Macaca mulatta: one gene and its partners. The protein of the gene in region 2 interacts with the protein of the main gene of each other region in a pairwise test. Links are inferred from orthologs where the notes say so. Each region holds a gene or a part of one and is shown on either strand. Other genes may lie near its edges.

What was found.
Region 1: the proteins of HAX1 (region 2) and IL1A interact in binary tests that used the Homo sapiens proteins (3 or more experiments, as listed by UniProt). The link is inferred for Macaca mulatta from reciprocal best matches to the Homo sapiens genes HAX1 and IL1A.
Region 3: the proteins of HAX1 (region 2) and SAV1 interact in binary tests that used the Homo sapiens proteins (3 or more experiments, as listed by UniProt). The link is inferred for Macaca mulatta from reciprocal best matches to the Homo sapiens genes HAX1 and SAV1.

The regions. Positions count from the first base shown.
Region 1 is NC_133418.1:22,866,286-22,872,655, forward strand, and holds the start of IL1A (interleukin-1 alpha), read right to left. Parts: upstream 4,076-6,370; 5' UTR 3,978-4,075; intron 3,312-3,977; 5' UTR 3,304-3,311; coding exon 3,257-3,303; intron 2,298-3,256; coding exon 2,249-2,297; intron 1,370-2,248; coding exon 1,147-1,369; intron 1-1,146. UniProt on the Homo sapiens protein: Cytokine constitutively present intracellularly in nearly all resting non-hematopoietic cells that plays an important role in inflammation and bridges the innate and adaptive immune systems.
Region 2 is NC_133406.1:112,746,173-112,752,368, forward strand, and holds HAX1 (HCLS1-associated protein X-1), read right to left. Parts: upstream 3,845-6,196; 5' UTR 3,776-3,844; coding exon 3,723-3,775; intron 3,168-3,722; coding exon 2,905-3,167; intron 2,754-2,904; coding exon of another isoform or gene 2,730-2,753; coding exon 2,542-2,729; intron 1,511-2,541; coding exon 1,459-1,510; intron 1,308-1,458; coding exon 1,201-1,307; intron 1,026-1,200; coding exon 935-1,025; intron 790-934; coding exon 704-789; 3' UTR 544-703; downstream 1-543. Other genes in the region: UBAP2L (ubiquitin-associated protein 2-like), read right to left, coding at 6,160-6,196. UniProt on the Homo sapiens protein: Recruits the Arp2/3 complex to the cell cortex and regulates reorganization of the cortical actin cytoskeleton via its interaction with KCNC3 and the Arp2/3 complex. Slows down the rate of inactivation of KCNC3 channels. Promotes GNA13-mediated cell migration.
Region 3 is NC_133412.1:123,899,562-123,905,601, forward strand, and holds the start of SAV1 (protein salvador homolog 1), read right to left. Parts: upstream 3,505-6,040; 5' UTR 3,378-3,504; coding exon 3,284-3,377; intron 1,039-3,283; coding exon 595-1,038; intron 1-594. UniProt on the Homo sapiens protein: Regulator of STK3/MST2 and STK4/MST1 in the Hippo signaling pathway which plays a pivotal role in organ size control and tumor suppression by restricting proliferation and promoting apoptosis.

The DNA of each region.
Region 1 (6,370 bases), on a different chromosome or scaffold from region 2:
GTGAGAGAAATGAATGTTTATACAGATGTTCATTGTTGCATTGCTTATAATGGTGAAAAATGGGCACTCTAAAATGTCCTCAATACATTGCTAAGTAAGAAAAGCTGGATATAAAGTTGTAAATAGTGTGGTCTTGATAATGTTAGGCATATTTGTTCACATGTAGGTATGTGTATAGCAAAGACTTTAAGGAAACATACCATAGCGCTGGTAGTAGTAAACTCTCACTGGCAATATGAGTGATTTTTATTTTCTTATATATTGTTACATTTTAAAACCTTCTAGGTAAACACATGTTATTGCTTAGGTATTATCTTAAAAACAGGAATACTGGGTTTCTAGTTCATGTGGAGGCTTGTACAGTAAAGGCATGGAGGAGAAACCATGATTTTTATACTCAGGTAGAACTGTATTAGATTTGAGGCTCTCCCACTTACAGATGTGTGCCGTTGGGCAGTTTACCTATCTCAATGAGCTTAGTTTCCTTTTATGTAAAATGAGAAAGTAGGATTCTTGTGAGGTTTAGACATAATCAGTCATTAATAAATTAATATTGCTGGTAGTATTCATATAGGTAGTAGTAATAGTAATAATAATAATAGCTAACATTTATTGGGTTCTTACTATGTACCAGACATTATTCTAGTCCAGAAGTTAGGGAATGTTGACTCATTTAATCTTTATAACAGTCAGGGGGGCCCAGCTAGCTCAGTCTGTAAAGCCTGAGACTCTTAATCTTTACAACAATCCAATGAGTGGGGGATTCTGATTATTTCCATTTTACAGTGGAGGAAACTGAATCACCGAAAGATTATGTAACGTGCCCAAGGAGGCATAGTTAGTATGAGAGGAACATAGCTTGTAAGTGGTCTTGTTACTGCTTTCTCCTGAAAGGCTAAAAGTCGCATGACCTTTACAGTATGGCCAAGAAATAATGACTGTGAGCAAGTATTCTCAATTCAGGCCACTGCTCATCTCTCCCTCCTGGAGAAGGATAAAAATTAATTTTCTTTCTATGTAGTTACCAGACTAATGCTTGGTTGTCTTCTTGTTATTCTGACTCCAGGTTTAATTTTCCCCTAAATTCTATTGTCCCTACTTACTTATAACTGTGAAACAAAGATATTATTGTGCTTGACCCCTTACCTTCCTCTGAGTCGTTGGCGATGGCCTCCAGGTTATTATCAGTGATGGACTGGCTTAAACTCAACCGTCTTTTCTTCAGAACCTTCCCATTGGTTGATACTACCACCATGCTCTGCTTGAAGGTCAGCTTGGATGTTTTAGAGATTTCAGAGATACTCAGAGACACAGACTGATCCATGCAGCCTTCATGGAGTGGGCCATAGCTTACATCATAGAAGGATTTCTAGAGGAAGGAAAACAGAAACTGAGAGGCTGTTCGTGGTCAGGGAATGAAAGTCCTTTCAGTAGTGCTGTATTCAACAGATGTAGTGAGGAGGATCTCCATTCTGGTCTTAGGTAACTCATGTTTCATTAGGCTTCCCTCCCTCTCTCCCTTTTGTCTCACCTTCCTTTCTCCTTCCAAGGTAAAAAGATGATTTTTTAGGAAGACTTTTTCATATATTTGCATGCTCAAAAATGAGATGCTGTAACTAAATAGGTTAACAATGATTGTAGTGAGTGGTAGCTTTCCAATTACTTCCCTCTCAGGAGGCTAAAAATCTACTTAACAATGCTCAAAATATTTTAGAAATACTCCTTTGGGGACAGCTTTTAAAGCCAGTACCAAAGACATACCAGGCAGTACTTATACTGTCTATTTGTGGTCTCCAAACACAATGACACAGCTTGGTGAGTGGCTGTAGATTTCTCACTTTCAATTGGCTTGCTTCCTCTCCCCCAGCTTCATGTTTGGAGACTTTCTCTAACCTCTGATGCTGGTGTCAGAGAGGGCAACCACAACACATCATGTTAGGAGACAGACCCCTGGTGAAGCGGTCTGCGGGGCCTGTCTCAGGATGGCATAACTAACATCCTGATGAAGCCTGCCCCAGGAGACTCCAGTTCTCAGGGATTTGGGATAATTCTGCTCTGTTCTGGGAGAAGCCAATGCACATCAACTTTATAAGGCAGCTGGTCTCTCTTACAATGAAAGACAGGTCTCTGGACGTCTAGTGAGGGTAAAACAAAAGCATTTAAGATTCAAGTCATTGCTGTTCTCTTTTGATGAAGAAACTACTGTGTAAGAATAGCAGCCCCATGAGAATTACAGTCATTTGCTTACCTGATTCAGAGACAGATGGTCAATGGAGGAACTGTCTTCTTCATTTTCACTGCCAAATAAGATGATGAGAATGTAATTGTTTGTTATTTCACTTTGGTCTCTGGCCAACGTGTTTTAATGACCACGGTAGTTGTGGGTCACACACATACACACGGCCATTACTGTCATCTTTGAAATTTAAGGACTTCTACACATACACATAGGTAGAGTAATTCATACCTTACTAATATGGAATTAGTAGTCATCAAGAGAGGCTTTGAGCTTTACCTGTGCTTTATCTATAAAAATTAGACCTGGCTAACAAATTAAAGAGCTTTAATTGAAGTTCAGGGAAGAATGTTAAGCTCCTTAAGAGAAAAGAAAGGTTTTGAAGCACTTCATTTTTATTTTAACCAAATAGATTATATGTTACACATTGCTTTCATGTATTCACTAAAACAGATTTCATAATTTATACTTAGTAAAATATCCAGGCAAAATTTTGACAGCCTAGTTTGCATTAGTATTGACTACTGATAATGGAAACATCATGTTAGTTTAATATGTTCTGTAATTTTATCTTTGTGTTCATTTACCTTTCTTCTACATATGAGTGAGATTTGCCTGCGTATCTGCGTTCACATGCCCAGCTTGCTGTGGAGTCATTTCCTATTCCTGAAGGAGACCAAGTTTTCCTGAGAATGGACCAGTAAAACCCATTCTTATATCAGGGTATGTGATCTCAACAGAGGCTGTGTCTGAGTTGATGCTGAAATTCATGTAGGACTCAGCAGACCTCAAAAATAACTTTTCTAAAATGGCGGTCTCCCTGCCAATGTAATCTCAGTTTAACATGCTGAATGCTTAGTCTTTCTGGGTCTTCTCTGAACCTGCTCTGACTTCAGAACTAGTACACATTCCTCCAGCCTCTGCCGGCCTGGCCCCATGCTGGTCACTGTTACGCCTAGCTGGATTCTGGTGAGCCTTGAAACCTTCATTAAATCACAAGAGATAAATCTTATTCCTTACCTGTAACAGTTCTTCAGGTCTTCAAACATGTCCGGAACTTTGGCCATCTTGACTTCTGCAACAGAGAACACCAGCCACGGTCAGCTCAGCCAGCCTCTAACCCGGATACCTGTGAGGGGAGCCCCTCCTCTTTGTGCTTCTTGAAAACTTTGTTGAATGACTTAGTCCACATTCAGCATTTTCTCCATCTGCTAGCTCCTTTGAATTAGTTTGCTATGTACCTGTCTCCTTTATTAGATCGTAAACTTCTTTTAGAATGTTTTATTTATATTGTTATTCCTTATGTGCCCAACCTAATGTATTGCACAGAACAGGCATTCAATCAATGAAAGTTTGAAGAGGTTACAGAAACACCACAAGAATAAGGTGTTTCCCTTACACAGAGGTAAGGGAGAGACAGACTTGGAAATGTTCAATTTTCTCCCAATAATTTTGGGTAGTAGAGATTCCCTCCCATGAGAAGCCTCAGTTGTATTCACCCCATGCCCTCACAGGAAGCTAATTCTGCCATCTCTCAGTAAAACGAATCGGTCCTTATCAGAAAAATGAGAGAATAATTTTCTAAAATCTGACTGTAATTCTAGGTCACATACCAAACCGGGGAGGGACAAGAAAAGAAAGGAGAGGCTGTAGCTTTAGAGAAGGCAATGTGAGAGAAAACAGCCAAAGAGAAAAACAACAACAGAAAATACTTTAATAGCCAGAGATGTGAGGACAATACCTTTGCTGACTCAAACGCCAATGAAATGACTCCCTCTCTGGCTGGCAGCTTAAGCCTGAGTCAGTCTTCTTCGCCTTTTGTAATTGTCTTAAGTAGGCGTGGCTACAAGTACGTCGTCAAAACGGGGAATTTACAGGGAAGAATTCAGTTTTGTATTTTTCTACGTTCATTCAACTTGATACTGGCTAAAATAATGAAAGATGGCATAGCTGATATTATTGTTGTTTGCAGATATTCCAGAAGTTATTGACTTGGTTCCTTTATTCACTGCTTTGCTTTATAAGATGACAAACGTGTAGTCTTAGAAAAAGGGAAGTGCAGGAAACTTATCAAGTTTCTAGGAGGAAGGGAGAAATCCTGAAATCAGAAGCCAAGGGGCTAGATTTGGAGAGGAATTCATGAATAATAATAGTTCTAATAGTAGCTGGAGTTGTGTTCCGGCTGAATCTGTTGGTTGTGCTCCAGGTTGAATGTGAATTGGCAGAATACTTGGCAGCTTCTGGCAACTTTTGAGGGAAAATGAGCCATCTTTTCTGAAGAGGGAAGTTTGCTTGATTAAGGCATAAATCACTTCAGAGTATGGGGTGACAAGCTCCTGGTTAGGTCAGGGTAGAGAAGAGAAAAGTGATATTTGACCACAAAGAAGTCTTGACCCTCTTACTCCTCTGAATATTGTCAACACATTTCCTGGAGAGGGGACAGAGCTTCGGGACAGAACTCTCCACCCTGACCCTGTTACAGTAAAGTAGCCCTCTACCGAGGACCCGAGAGAAGCCTGGTCTTCTGTAGGATACGCCCAAGGTGTGTCTTCTGTAGAAGAAGGTGTGTGAAAGCCCCTAGAGGTATGCCTAAGGCCTCAGCCAGAAGCCAGTGGCTAAGTTTGGGAATGGAGATTGGGAGAAAGGAAGGCATGGATTTTTACATCTGAGACTTCAATGGTGTTGCCTGGTTACTATTATTAAAGAATTTCTCAGCTTTTATAATTCCCGTGGCCAGCCTAGTTCAGGTGGCAGAACACCAGACTCTTAGCAAATGGATGTTCCCAGGTGGAGTTTAAGCCATAAATATTTTAAATAAAGGAAATGAACTAGGTGTGGTGGCATGCCCCTGTAGTGCCAGCTGTTCAGGAGGCTGAGGCAGGACGATCACTTGAGGCTCAGAGTTCGAGTCCAGTGTGGGCAACGTAGTGAAGCCCCCATCTCTAAAAAAAAAATAAACAAACAAACAAACAAAGGAAATGGATGGAAGAACAAGGTAGAAGAGGGAGAGAAAAAAAAAAGAGGCAAGGCACTAAAACATGGTATAGAAAAGCAAAAAAGTGTGGATCTGGGAGGAAAGCGGCTTGTGTGAGTTGGATAAAGTATTCCCTCTGTTCCTGTTTAATTATAAATAATAGGATTGGTTAGATGTCATAAGGTCTATTTCAGGTGCAAAATCTCTTTTTCTGATTTAATGCCAGTCTAATTCTCCTGGTCATGTACCTGGTGCTATAATAGTTATAACAAGAGCCACAGAAATAACCACACTTGGATGTAAGCAATGTAAGTGTAGCACCAGACTAGGGTAGAAGCTTGGGTGTCTAAGGATAAATCCTGAAGGAACAGTGATGTCAGCCAACTGGCTACATTTCTGCTTACCTTGGTTCCTCCTTAGGCAACACAGAAATGTTAATCCTGATTACCCCCTCTCCTCCTGAGAATCTTGTGAGGGCTATTGCTAAGGAACAATTGCAAAGCACATTGTGAATGTGAGCTGCTATGGAGATGCAACTAAACAAAAATAATAACAATGCTAATGATGGCTTCAGTCACTCAAGAACCTGTATAGTCATCATTATAATGCCTTAGTTCACCAAAGAAAATATAGTTCTTATGAAAATATTGGCTCGAAAGCTTCAACAGGGATAACATTTTCAGGTGAAGGCCACCATTGAAAGCCTGAAGATATTTAGCTTCTGGGAGCAATGCATACCATCTCTTTGGTAATCCAGGAAAAAACCCTGGTTCCACCCACATAGGCAATACCCATCCTGGTCCCATCCTCACTCCTCTGTTGTAGAGAATTCCCCAAATGTGGTTGTTGAATTTCTTAAGGAGAACTTGGTTGAGAAGCAGCGAACTTGGGTTAGAATATCACCCAACATTTTCCTTCACATGATTGTCTTGTCAATTGATTTTTAAAGGAAAACTAGGGTGGGTGAGGTTCAGAGAGAGGTGGGTCCTTGCATTGTTTTGGGGAGCCTGCTTTTCTGGGACTGTGAACAAAAGTTACCTCTTCTAGGGAAGGGATAGTGGAACATACTGGGCAGGCCTGTGGTGTGTGTGTGTTGGGAGCCATCCTGTGACAGGGACGTTGGGTGGCTTCAGGCACTCACCTCTCGACTCTGAGGAGGC
Region 2 (6,196 bases):
CTAGAAGTTTTCCTGAAATTATTTCTAGTTATCTCCTCAGTAAGAAAAATCATTTTTCTTTTCTTTTTTTTTTTTGAGATGGAGTTTTGCTCTTGTTGCCTACGCTGGAGTGCGATGGCACGGTCTCGGCTCACTGCAACCTCTGCCTCCTGGGTTCAAGTGATTCTACTGCCTCAGCATGGGATTACAGGCACCCGCCACCATGCCCAGCTAATTTCTGTATTTTTAGTAGAGACGGAGTTTCACCACGTTGGCCAGGCTGGTCTTGAACTCCTGACCTCAGGTGATCTGCCTGTCTCAGCCTCCCAAAGTGCTGGGATTACAGGTGTGAGCCACCAAACCTGGCCTCTTTTTTTTCTTTTTTAATTTATTTCTTGCTTGAGAAAGAAAAATCATTTTCTACTCAGGTTTTAGATGTAGAATAAAAAGTTAAGGAATAAGGAGAAGGTAGAGGACCAAGATAATTTCGGAAGTGTTGGATGGTTCTAGAAACTGAAATAGCCTTGACAAAACCAAGACAAATAATTAGCATAAATAAAAGTTTTATTGGTCAGTTTGGGTGAGTGACAAACTGACATGCCCCCAATTCACTATTCCACATATCCAAGCCCCTGAGGTGGCAAGAGGAGAAGCTAAGCTTATTAATGGTGGGCAATGGGTGAAAGGTGGAAAGGACTTTGAAGGCCTCTGAGGGTTAACAAGGCTACCGGGACCGGAACCAACGTCCTAGGAATAAGTCCAGGATGGAGAAGGCATCATCCAGGGCTGGAGGTCTTGGTGATTCTGGATCTAAGGAAGAAAGTCATACACACAAATAGGCTAAATGAAAGAGACCAGGCAGAAGCAAAGGAGAGAAATAATATTCAAGGGTAGAAGAGTAAGAGTTCCCTTCCCCAAGGAATCTTGAGATGAACCCCTTTGTCTTTTAACTTACCACCCCTAGGACTGCTCTCTGCTTCGTGTCGGGTTACTGTAGTCTCTGTCCGGCCCTCACTGTCCACCACAGTCCGGCGCTCCTCCACTATCTACAAGGAGAAGTCCCCACCATATTCCTCACATCACTAACGATAACGCTCAGCAGTTTCTAACGATAACGCTCAGCAGTTTCTTTACAGAGATCCCTGTTTCTTTACAGAGATTCCTGTTTCAGGGCATTCATTCCCTGGCCACAATTTCCTTTACCTCTTTCTTTCAACTCACCCCATCTGGTTTAGTGATCTTGGTTACAGAGATGCTCTTGAAATAGGATTTGGGCTGGGGCTGTAGAACCGGGCCAAGACCCTCCTGGGAAACCTGGGAATCAAGATCTGGAAGAGCAGAGAGATGAAGAAGCAGGAAAGAAAGAGTCCAAGGAAAAAAGAAGACAAGTGTACAGGAAGAAACTTCAGGGAGGGAAAATGGACAGAACTTCAGAAGAATAACAAAAGGCTGATAAACTTCCCCTTCCTCCAGACTTACCATTGTCCTCTCTGGTTCTAGGATGGGGGTCCACAGGCCATATGTCATCAAACTGCAGAAGAAACCATAGTAAGTGAAAAGACATCTTCTAATCTGAAATTTGAAAGGTCATAGACCTCAAACTAATCCTGAGCTCCAAAACCCACTGCCCCGGGGGAGATAATTCCATTCAGAATAGCTTTATTTATACACTCCTTCCTCCTTCCTGGCTGTTTTATGTATCCTTCTACCAGAAAGACTTCCTGAACTGATATATGTCTATACTTTGTGCACAATCCTGCCTTATCCAAGAATTATCTAGACCAGTGGTGGTTTATTGTTTTTTTTTTTTTTTTTAAGAAACAGAACACCCATCTCCCCCCCCCAAAGAAAATCCCACAAGCTTAATAGAGAAAACAGAAAACACTAAATGGAGGGCTTAGGATTCCAGCCCAAGGCTGTCAGATTCAAACAAGAATTGCAATCTTTGGCCAGGCATGTTGGCTCACACCTGTAATTCCAGCACTTTGGGAGGCCAAGGTGGGTGGACCACCTGAGGTCAGGAGCTCGAAAGCAGCCTGGCCAATATGGTGAAACACCGCCTTTACTAAAAATACAAAAATTAGTCGGGCGTTTGGCAGGTGACTGTAATCCCAGCTACTCAGGAGGCTGAGGTAGGAGAATCACTTGAATCTGGGAATTGGAGGTTGCAGTGAGCTGAGATTGTGCCACTACACCACAGCCTGGGTAACAGAGCAAGGCTGGGTCTCAAAAAAAAAAAAGTGCAATCTTTGTACTTTTTTTTTTTTTTTTTTGACATGAGTCTCCACCTCCTGGGTTCAACCAATTCTCCTGCCTCAGCCTCCCGAGTAGCTGGGATTACAGGTGCCCGCCACCACGCCCGGCTAATTTTCTGTATTTTTAGTAGAGACATGGTTTCACCATGTTGACCAGGCTAGTCTCGAACTCCTGACCTCAGGTGATCCACCCTCGGTCTCCCAAAGTGTTGGGATTACAGGCGTTAGCCACCGCGCCTGGCCAGTCTTTGCACTTTATTAGTGGTCTCTCACAAGCTCTCACTTTAGGACCCGATGGGATACTCACACTATGAAATGGTCTCTGGGAGCCCCAGTCTGGTGCTGGTTTGGGGGATTCACTTCTTCCATCACTCTCCAAGACCCCCCCAAAGATCCTGGGCTGGTGACTATCTGGATACTTAAGCATTGAGTCCCGAAGTGTCTGTCCCTCCCGCAGTCTCTCACCAGGTGTCTCTGACTCAGGACCTGGGAGTTCTGCAGAAAGGTGGCAGGTGTTTGCTGGGGTGGGAAAGGACTTGGGCTCTATAAATCTCCCTGAAATCATCAGTCTTCTCACACTTCCCATCCCCCAGCTACTCCCTGCAGGCTCTTTATTTCACCCACCAACCCACTAGAAACCGCAGGTTGTCCCTCAGGGAAAGCCACACACCAGGAGGATGGGAAGGCAAGGTCCAGGCCCCCATATCGCTGAAGATGCTATTGAAATCTCGTACTAGGTCATCAAAGCCGAAGTTATCGTGGAAACGTATCCCTCCTCCTGGGCTGAAGCTGAAGCCGAAGCCAAATTCCTCAGGGGGGTGCTGAGGACTATGGAACCTTGGGTTCCCACGGCCCCATGAACCCCCTTCTTCCTCTTCTTCCTCATCATCATCTTCATCTCGAGTCATCCCTCCAAAAAAGGGATCTCTGTGGCTGAGAGTGGAGGCAGATTGGCCACCAAGATGTCAGCACGATTTAAGCCATAAAATCAACTCATGGGTGGCAAAGTGGGACAAGAGCAAGTGGTCTGGGAAGCTGGGGAGAGGGTCGGAGGACTGGTTGCCGCATCAAAACATTAATACAATGGCTGACAGTTCTTTCTTTCTTTCTTTCTTTTTTTTTTTTTTTTTTTTATCAAAGTCAGACCTCAGCTCGCAGCTCCCTTCTTACACCTTCCCCCAGAGTCCCTCCCCTCTCTCCCAAGGTCCTGCTCACTTGCTCACTGTCCTATTCTCCCGACCCCCATTGTCTTCCCCGCCCGGGTCCCTGTTGCATCACCCCAGGTTGGAGAAAGGCTTAGTTTGCTGTTTCTCCTCTTAACGACCGCCTTGGTTACTGTGGCGGGGTGAGTATTCAATGTTGCGACTTCTGTCCTCTCTACAGGAGTTGAAGGAGTGGGACAGAGGATGTTTTTCCAAAAAATAAGACGTAGGGGTCAAGCTCCCCTCAGACGACCCCCACCCTTGTCCAAGCCGGACCTACTCTCACCTCCGAGGTCCAGGAAAGCCGAAAAAGCCCCGGAAGAGATCAAAGAGGCTCATTCCCGTATTGGGACGCGAACCTTTGAACCCCTCCAGTGGTCCATTCGCAGAAGGGGCAAACCTGCGCAGCCCTGTGGGAAATTGAGCGAGGCGTCAGCCCACGCTACCGGAAAGCAAGCCCGCGATCCTGACACTGTCGTAAACGACTGTAAGCCGGACATGCAAGGGAGGCGGGACGGAAAGTCTTCCTCAAATTTGAAAGGCTTTATCTTTACCCCACCTTTTAGAGACCAGTTTCCGTGACGGGAGTGAGCGTGACGCACTTTCAGTTTCCTATGACCGCCTTCCTCCTAAACCTGTTCTTCTTTCTGGAGACAACTCAGTCCGAAAAGCGATTTCGAGGGTTTGACTCTGGATGGCACCCGCATAAAGCCGCCAGAGGGCAGCCCAGCCGCACAGATGAACCGGCTTGAGGGCATCCCTCAACCTCCCCACCCCCGGGGCTGGCCAGCCTAACAGCAGAAGCCACCTCGCCTCTTACTCGGGCGTTCCTTTTGACTGACCTGGGTGACGTCTGCTGTTAGAGGGATGAACAAATGAACAAAATGCTTTTCCAAGCTCTTTCTAGTATTGAATTCCCCAGAGATCAAGACATGAGACGCATGGACTTAACTTCCTCCACCTCTCTAGCTACTAGGGAGTTTGTTATAACCATATAGGATTCTTTTATCTAAGCAGGCTCTGCAACCAGCAAGACAAAGGATTTGTAAGGGAAGGGAAACTAGTTGTGTCCTGAGAAGGAACAAATTGGGGACGATAAAGAAGTATCCCTTTGGTATCTTTTTTTTTTTGAGACAAATTTTTCTCCCATGTCTCCCAGGCTGGAGTGCAGTGGCACCATCTGGGCTCACTGCAACCTTCGCCTCCCAGGTTCTCTCCTGCCTCAGCCTCCTGAGTAGCTGGGATTACAGTCATATGCCACCCTGCCCGGCTACTTTTGTATTTTTTGTAGAGACGGGGTTTCACCATGTTGACCAGGCTGGTCTCGAACTCCCGACCTCAGGTGATCTGCCCACCTTGGCCTCCCAAAGCGACTGGCTTCATTTTGTGCCTATCCGAAACCTGTCTCTCCCTGTACCCCATCCCCAAGCCAGACTTGGCTCTAGATTCTTTTTCAAAGAATTGGGTATAGCTATGTCACAGAAAAGCACCCAAGAAGCAACTACTACAGTAGTCCATTCCTAGGGGGAATGTGCCCCAAGGTTTTGGTTTTTTTATTTCGTTTTTGGGGTACAGGTGGTGTTTGGTTACATGGATGAGTTCTTTAGTGATTTCTGCGACTTTAGTGCACCCATCACCCGAGCAGTGTACACTGTACCCAGTATGTAGTCTTTTATCCGTCACCCTACTCCAAGATTTAGTTCTGTCAGACGATACATGTTGCCTTCACTTCTTTTTAGTTTATTTACCTGGACCCATTTAAGTCATAACTTAAAACTCTTTAAAGCCATTTTTTTCCTTTGAAATGGTCTCAGCTCCTTCTTGATCCTCTCCATTTTCCACCCAATCTCCTCTATCCCTCTCCCTTTACTGCCTGAAATCGGCTGTAGATGTAGCAGTTTCTGGAGGAAATGAAGATTTGTGGTGGTTCTTTCCAGTCAACAGGTTGTGAAAGTCTTAGGGGTGAAGGGAAGGAAATCCCCTCAAGGACAAGATACTACTACCACATTAAGGTCAGGAGTTCTTAAAGGGCGAAGATTTCATTTTATTCCACTGCCTTCAGGGGCCTGCTAGAGGAGGCCCCGTTGGTACAGTAATACTTATTCACCAAGCTGGTCATCGACGAAATTGAGGATGTCCTAGACGGAGCAAGAATAGGCAGAGGCTGAAGGTAGAGGTTTTCTTTTTATATATACAAGACACATTAATCCATTAAATTTGAGGACACAGTACAAAAAAAAAAAAAAAAAAAAAAAAAAACACTTCAACTAATTCATCTGACAATGCTGTTCATATTCATGACGCCATTTTTTTTTTGTTTGTTGTTGTTGTTTTCCTAATAATAAAGGAGGAGACTTAGGGCTGTTGGGCTGATATATATTTGGGGGTCCCACCTCCCCACCTCATCCGTACACCACCAGGGTGAACAGGAGGAAGCAAAGGAAGGGCAGGGCCCATAGCAAAGTTTCATAATCTTGAATGCAAGAGGGGAGAAGGAATGGAAGGGGGGAAAAAAAAGGAGAAAATACAAATCCTATAATACATACAACAGGGTGGGGATGGTATAGGAATGGGACAGACATGAAGCTGAGGCATGGGGTGGGCCGCTGGGGGTGGGGGGCAGCGGAAACCCCCCACATTCCTTTCTCTTTGATGTTGTTTCCATAGTTTCCAGGCTGAGAAGCCCTCTCAGAAGATGGGACCGGGAGAAGAGGGTCAGGGCCTCAGTTGGCCCCCCAGCTGTAGCTGTTGTAGGCAGAC
Region 3 (6,040 bases), on a different chromosome or scaffold from region 2:
AGCACCTTCTTTTCCTAAATTAAATGGTAATATTTTTTGTCTGTTACAAAAAGAATAAAGACGTGCTCAACACACAATTAACCATGTGACAAGTCTTTCTGATCAACTCAGGAAATAATTCTTAAACTACTTTTTGTTCAGAGAAAAAGTGCAGGATCTAGTGAAGTAATGCGGTTGCTCAGGGTCTCACTGAGCATGCCCAGTTGTTCCTATTCTGCTTTCCTTTCCCAAGTTTGTCAAGTGTCTCTGAAGACTCACCCTTCCCATTATTCTACCAAACCTAAACCTAAATTCAGACCAACTGGAGACATTAAATTCTCTAGGTTTTCAAGGGTCACACACAGGATTAAGAGTCTAGACAGCCTTGAGATAAGTACCAGGTTTATATAACAGGAGTTAATAAAATAAATGGACACAAGGACTCTTCCATTCAGTGTAGATTAACAACTATTTGCACACAGGCTTAAGCAGAACTAGCAAAGTGGAAAAAATTTCGCTAGTAGTATTTGTTCGCGTCCCAAGAAAATCTAGAAAAGAACATCTTTTTAATTGACATGTCAATAAACTACTATATTATTTATAATGTTAAGCTACCTGAAGCATGCCTCCCCTGATTCTGTGGCATTCTTTGGAAGAGATCATGGTTGTATTCATAATATCTGTACTCTTCATGTGCACGATCTCCAAGTGGCCGCTTTCTCTGACCATCAAAAAAATTGTCTGAATAATAATATCGGGAACCAGAGTCTCCATTTTCAACAGCAAAACTAACTTCCGTTACAAACGACTGAGAAGAACCATACTCCCTAGGGACATCTGCTAGACTTCTGGCAAGATAAGAAGGTGCAGATAATCTGTTGCTTTCTCTTCTCATTATTTCATGAGGTGTTCTCTGAATTGGAGTTCTAAGGAAACTCTGGTTTCTTGAAACTACTCCATCTCCAGAAGTTGAAAAGGCATTAGGGCTTGAATCTGGAAGACAGATATCAGTTCGTCTTGGAATTGTTGGACCATGCCGGATGAAAGAAGGCATAAGATCTATAATAAAACAAAGGATAAAATTACCCTTTCATCAGTAAGTAACAAAAGTTTTCGAAAGTTGTTCATTTACATCTACCACCCCAAAATCAAATGTCAACTTAAAACACAATTTTAAATTTTGGTTTAGGATGGTACTTGGGCATTTTAAACTGAAGAAGGTTAATATTTTCCCAATCAAATGAATTTATATAACTTGCATTAATATGCTATGTGTAAAAGCTCAGCTAGAATGAAATGTATTCTGCATACTACCATACATAATATGATAAAATGCCAATAATCTTATCTGTGAACTACACATTAATGACATGGTCATGAATTAATGAATAATAGGAAACAATCTAACAAACTGATAGTTTCTAGTTAATTAAGCTAGTAGTTTATTTTGTTGTTCTCACTTCATTTTAGAAACTGCCAAAAATCCTTCTTGAAGCAAACACAATTTCAAAAATAAAATAGAACTTAATGCTACTCCCAAGTATGTAAAAGTGGATTCCTTTAAAGATTAAAAAATTAGTAGCTCTTTCTTCTCTTGGAATTACCTAGCACTAGCACAGTAATCAAAAGCTAGAAAGCCAAAAATTTACGTATGAAAATTGAAAATAAAAAGCTCTCATTTCAAAGAGGCACACAAATGTTGAATTGGCTCAAAAAAACCAAGCCTGAAACTATGTAATTATAATTCAAAATAGTAGACAATAGAACAATGGCTTTTAGGATACTGTACTTTTAAACACGAAACTTGAAAACAGCTTAAGACATTTCTAGTTAGAAAGCAAATACCTTTAAAACAAGAAAAAACCTGAATATGGAGACCCTCTTATTATTCATTAAGTAAACAATATTGGAGACACTCATATTAATAAGCTTCAGAAACTAACACTGGACAGAAACAAATATCCGAATAAATAAGGCTCAACACTTGATGTAACGACAACAACACAAAGTATATCAAAAGTTATTTGCTTAATTGTGACAAACATGAATAAAACTGCATGTTCTGCATATGTACCCCAGAACTTAAAGTATAATAATAAAAAAAGTGTGACAAACATGATTCACGATTTCAAGTAATGTTTGATAAACTTTATTTGTAGCAAACAGCAAGCTATCACTTAAAAACAGCCAAAAACCTAACAGCATGTGTAACTGAAAATCAAGTTTAAAAAAAAAACTTAAAAATCAAGTTTCCAGTTACTGACATGCTCAACTGACATATATTTTGTTGAAAGTATTGCAAGTACTACTATAAATCTGGAAGGCTGACAATGTGGTTATAATGGAGAACATGCTCTCCCATCTGTGTGATCTTGGGCAAACACTAGAAACCTAGCATTCCCAATTACAGTATGAGGTAATACTTAAGTCACAAGGTTACTACCAGCTTCCAAGAAGGAAACTTACGCAAAGGGCCCGGGGCGCAGTATAAGCACCAAAATACCAGCTCCATGCCTCACAAATGTCCTGAACACACAATAATTAAAAATCCAAGAGATTCAACTCAAAAATCAAATACTTAAATTAAGAAGAAAAGTAGCGGGGGATCGGAGGTGGGGGTTGAGGGTGGGATATACCCTATCAAAAAAAAAACACTTTTCCGGGGGTGGGGCGGGGGACGGTGGAATTTCTCTAACACGATAGAAATAATTTTGAGTTGCCTTTTTGGAATCTCACGAATATAGCCAAATACAAAGGCTTTTGGCTCTCTGCTCTGGGATGTGCTTTGGGTGGCAGCCACAAGAACTATGGTGTGCTTTTCACCTTCTCAAGTCTGCATCCGGCAGCAGGACTAAGGAATTCTGCCCCAGAGTTTGCACAACTTGCAGCACGGTCGAGAGACACCAACAATGTTTGCAAACATGAGGCACATCTCGACGCACCCAGAAGAGTAAAAAGTGTCCCTGTCTAATTACTCATTAGGTTATAAACAATTTAAGTGTTTTCTAGTCTCTCTTCCAGTACTCAAAACCAACAACTCTCTGCCAGGCGGGGTGAGGAAGTCTGTTATTTTTAGGGGGTGCTCTTGGCGCGGTTAGGCGCGGGGGGACTAACCCAAGTTTCTTAGTCTTACGGGCTTTCAATCAACGAATACCACTTCAGGCACAAGAAAATCTCAAAACCAGTATTTCACAGCGACCAGCGACGAAGGAGAAGCCCTGGGGACCCGCCGGCGCCCCCGCCCAGGTCCCCGCAGCCCCCGGCCGCCTGGGCCAGGTGTGGGCGCGCCCCGCCTGACACTCACTCCGAAGCAGAGGCGACGTCTCCTTCTTCACGTACTTCCCCTGCACCTCGGCCGGCTTGGACACTTCGTTTTTGGTTTTCTTTCGGGACAGCATCCTTCTCGACGAGGCCCGAGGCCGCGCTGAGCTGCCTCCCTAGGGCTCCGCGCCGGGCGCCGGCCGTCTCCGCCGCCACCTCCGCCGGCGCCGGCGCCTCCTTCCCTCCTGAGCCGCCGCCTCCGCCGCCGCCTGTCCGGAGCCCGGGGTTGCCTGCAGGGACTGCCGCATGTTCAGGGCGCTAAGCGCGCCGGCCGCCGCTCAGTCGCTGGTCAGTTCCTTCCCGGAAGTCGGCCCGCTCTGCGACGCTGCTCGGGGACGCCGTGAGAAAAGCCCAGCGACGCCAGGCCAGGGCCATGGTTCGCCGCGGGCCGCCGGGCAACCGCTACCACTACCGCCGCCGCCGCCTACATCCCGTAAACTTTCCCCGCGGCCGCTGGGAATTCTGGGAAGCTCGACGCAGCGCGGGCCACCGCCGCCCCTCCCCCACCACAGTCCCGGCGCGGCTCCGGGGCGGGACTCGGGTGCGGGGGCTCTCGGCTAACGGGCGGGTCCCACCGAGCCGCGGCTGTCCTCGCTCATCCTCAGCGAGAAGCAGGTCCTGCCGACTGAGAAGATGAAGGACGAACCCTGCCTCGCTGAGACCGGGAGCTCGTCGCATGCGCAAGTCGTGAAGCCACTCTCCACGACAGTTTTTTTTTTGTTGTTTTTGTGTCCTCCCAAGATTTCTAATGGAGGCAGTGACTCCCTTCTCCCAAGACGGGTGTTCTTCTTAGTGTTTCCAAGGCTGGTGAATTCAGTTCCGTAAAAAATGTGGAATGCTAACCATGACCCCCAGGGTAGTGCTATATCATACCATCTATTCTGCTGGAAGCGTTCATGCTGGTTAACTAGAAATAAGTTGATCCTCTACTGAGTATCAGGGAGTGCGTTTTTCTAATAACAGGAAAAAACGGAAGAATGCAAGATGGAATTTCCAGTACCTCTTTTTGAGATACATTTGGTGTTAGCATATTACAATTATTTTATTGCATCATTATCATTAGTATGATTAATAGCCACGTATTTCCTCCTGACGTTATGTGTTACGATCTTAGAATTTTGAGGACTTTGACCACTGCAAGTCGGGACCGGGAATTTTCTATCTAAAATAATAGACTCTACTTCCTTCTATATAACTTAGCAAAACTGCCATATGTACAGGATAACATTTGGAAAATAAGATTGGATTCATCCCCTAGTGACCAAATTCAGGCTTTAATAATGAAGAATGCTTTCCCTGAGATCTAAAACATCTCACAAGAGATCTAAGACATGTCACAACAAAAGACATGGAATTTTTTTTACCACATAACATTAAAAAGATGGTCAAATTTTGTTTTACCATGAGCAAACAAATGAGACATTTAATCTAGGGTCTGTCTCCATATGTTCCCTTGATGCAGATCTCCCCCAATTCATTCATTTAGCAATAAATACTCATCACCCACTGTGCTAGGCACTGTGCTAGGTGTTTGTGATATAGCCATAAGCAAAACAGACAAAAATTCCTACTGTCATGGGAAAGAAAAAAATGACGAAAAATAAGCAAAACATACTATGTTAGATAGTGGTAAGTGATGAAGTGAAAATAAGAGAGTACTCGCAATTTTAGAGAGGGTGATAGAGGGACCAGAGAAGGCTCAGGAGAAGGTGACATTGGAGTTAAGTGACAGAATGAGGAAACTGGCCATGCAGCTATCTGGAGGAACAGTATTCCAGGCAGAAAGAACAGCAAGTGCAAAGTCACTGCAAGTGGCCATGTTCCTGGCAGATTGGAGGAACAGTAAGAGGGTTTACTACTGGAAAAGAGGGGGAGACGAATGGGGAATGCAGTTAGAGAGTAACAATAGCCACTGCACCTTGGGCTTTGTAGGCCATTGTAAGGAGTGTTACTTTGAGCAGAAGAGTGACATGATCTGAGTTAATGTTTTCATAGGACTGCTTTGGGTGCTGGGTGGGGAGTAGACAATGGAGATAAGGGCAAAAGCAGGGAGATCAGTCAGAAGTTATTGCTGGCTTGGACCCAGGTAATAATAGGTGGAGATAAGTGGACACATTTTAGACATATTTTAAAGAAAGCCCGCCAAATTTGCTGACATTGAATATGGAGTGTGAGACTATCAGTCACTCCCATGGGTACGAAAATCTTAAGAAACAGAATTGGAACTCACTAGAAGCAGAGTGTACTCTGAGAGAAACATTAGAAAAACAGTTACTTGTTCCTGTGGTTCAGAAATAAGGACAAGTCCTAAAGCATTGATAGTGTGCAGGGAGAAGAAAGAGTGATGAAACTTAAGTGAAAACACAATGGGGTTTTTTTTACACATCAGAGTGTGAAGGCAGGAGCTGAAGGGGGAAGGGGGAGCCAAAGAAGTGCCAGGTTTCTGCCCAAGGCTTACCCCAGAGAAGGGCAAAAGGATATTAGTACCTTGTTAATCAAGGCAACTCTTCTCACTGCGAGTTTTCCCAGAGCCTGAAATACGGGACACCTTTCACGTGTGGAGGAAAGAATCCTAGAATTTTATAGTTGAAAAAGAATTCTGAGATTACCTGGGCTCACCTCATCAACATCAAAAAGGAACGAGAAAAATTAAGTGTTTTGCCTCAGATTATATTCCTGGTTAATGACAGAATAACATCAGAACTGGAGTTTTCGATTTCCTTTTTTTTTTTTTTTTCTG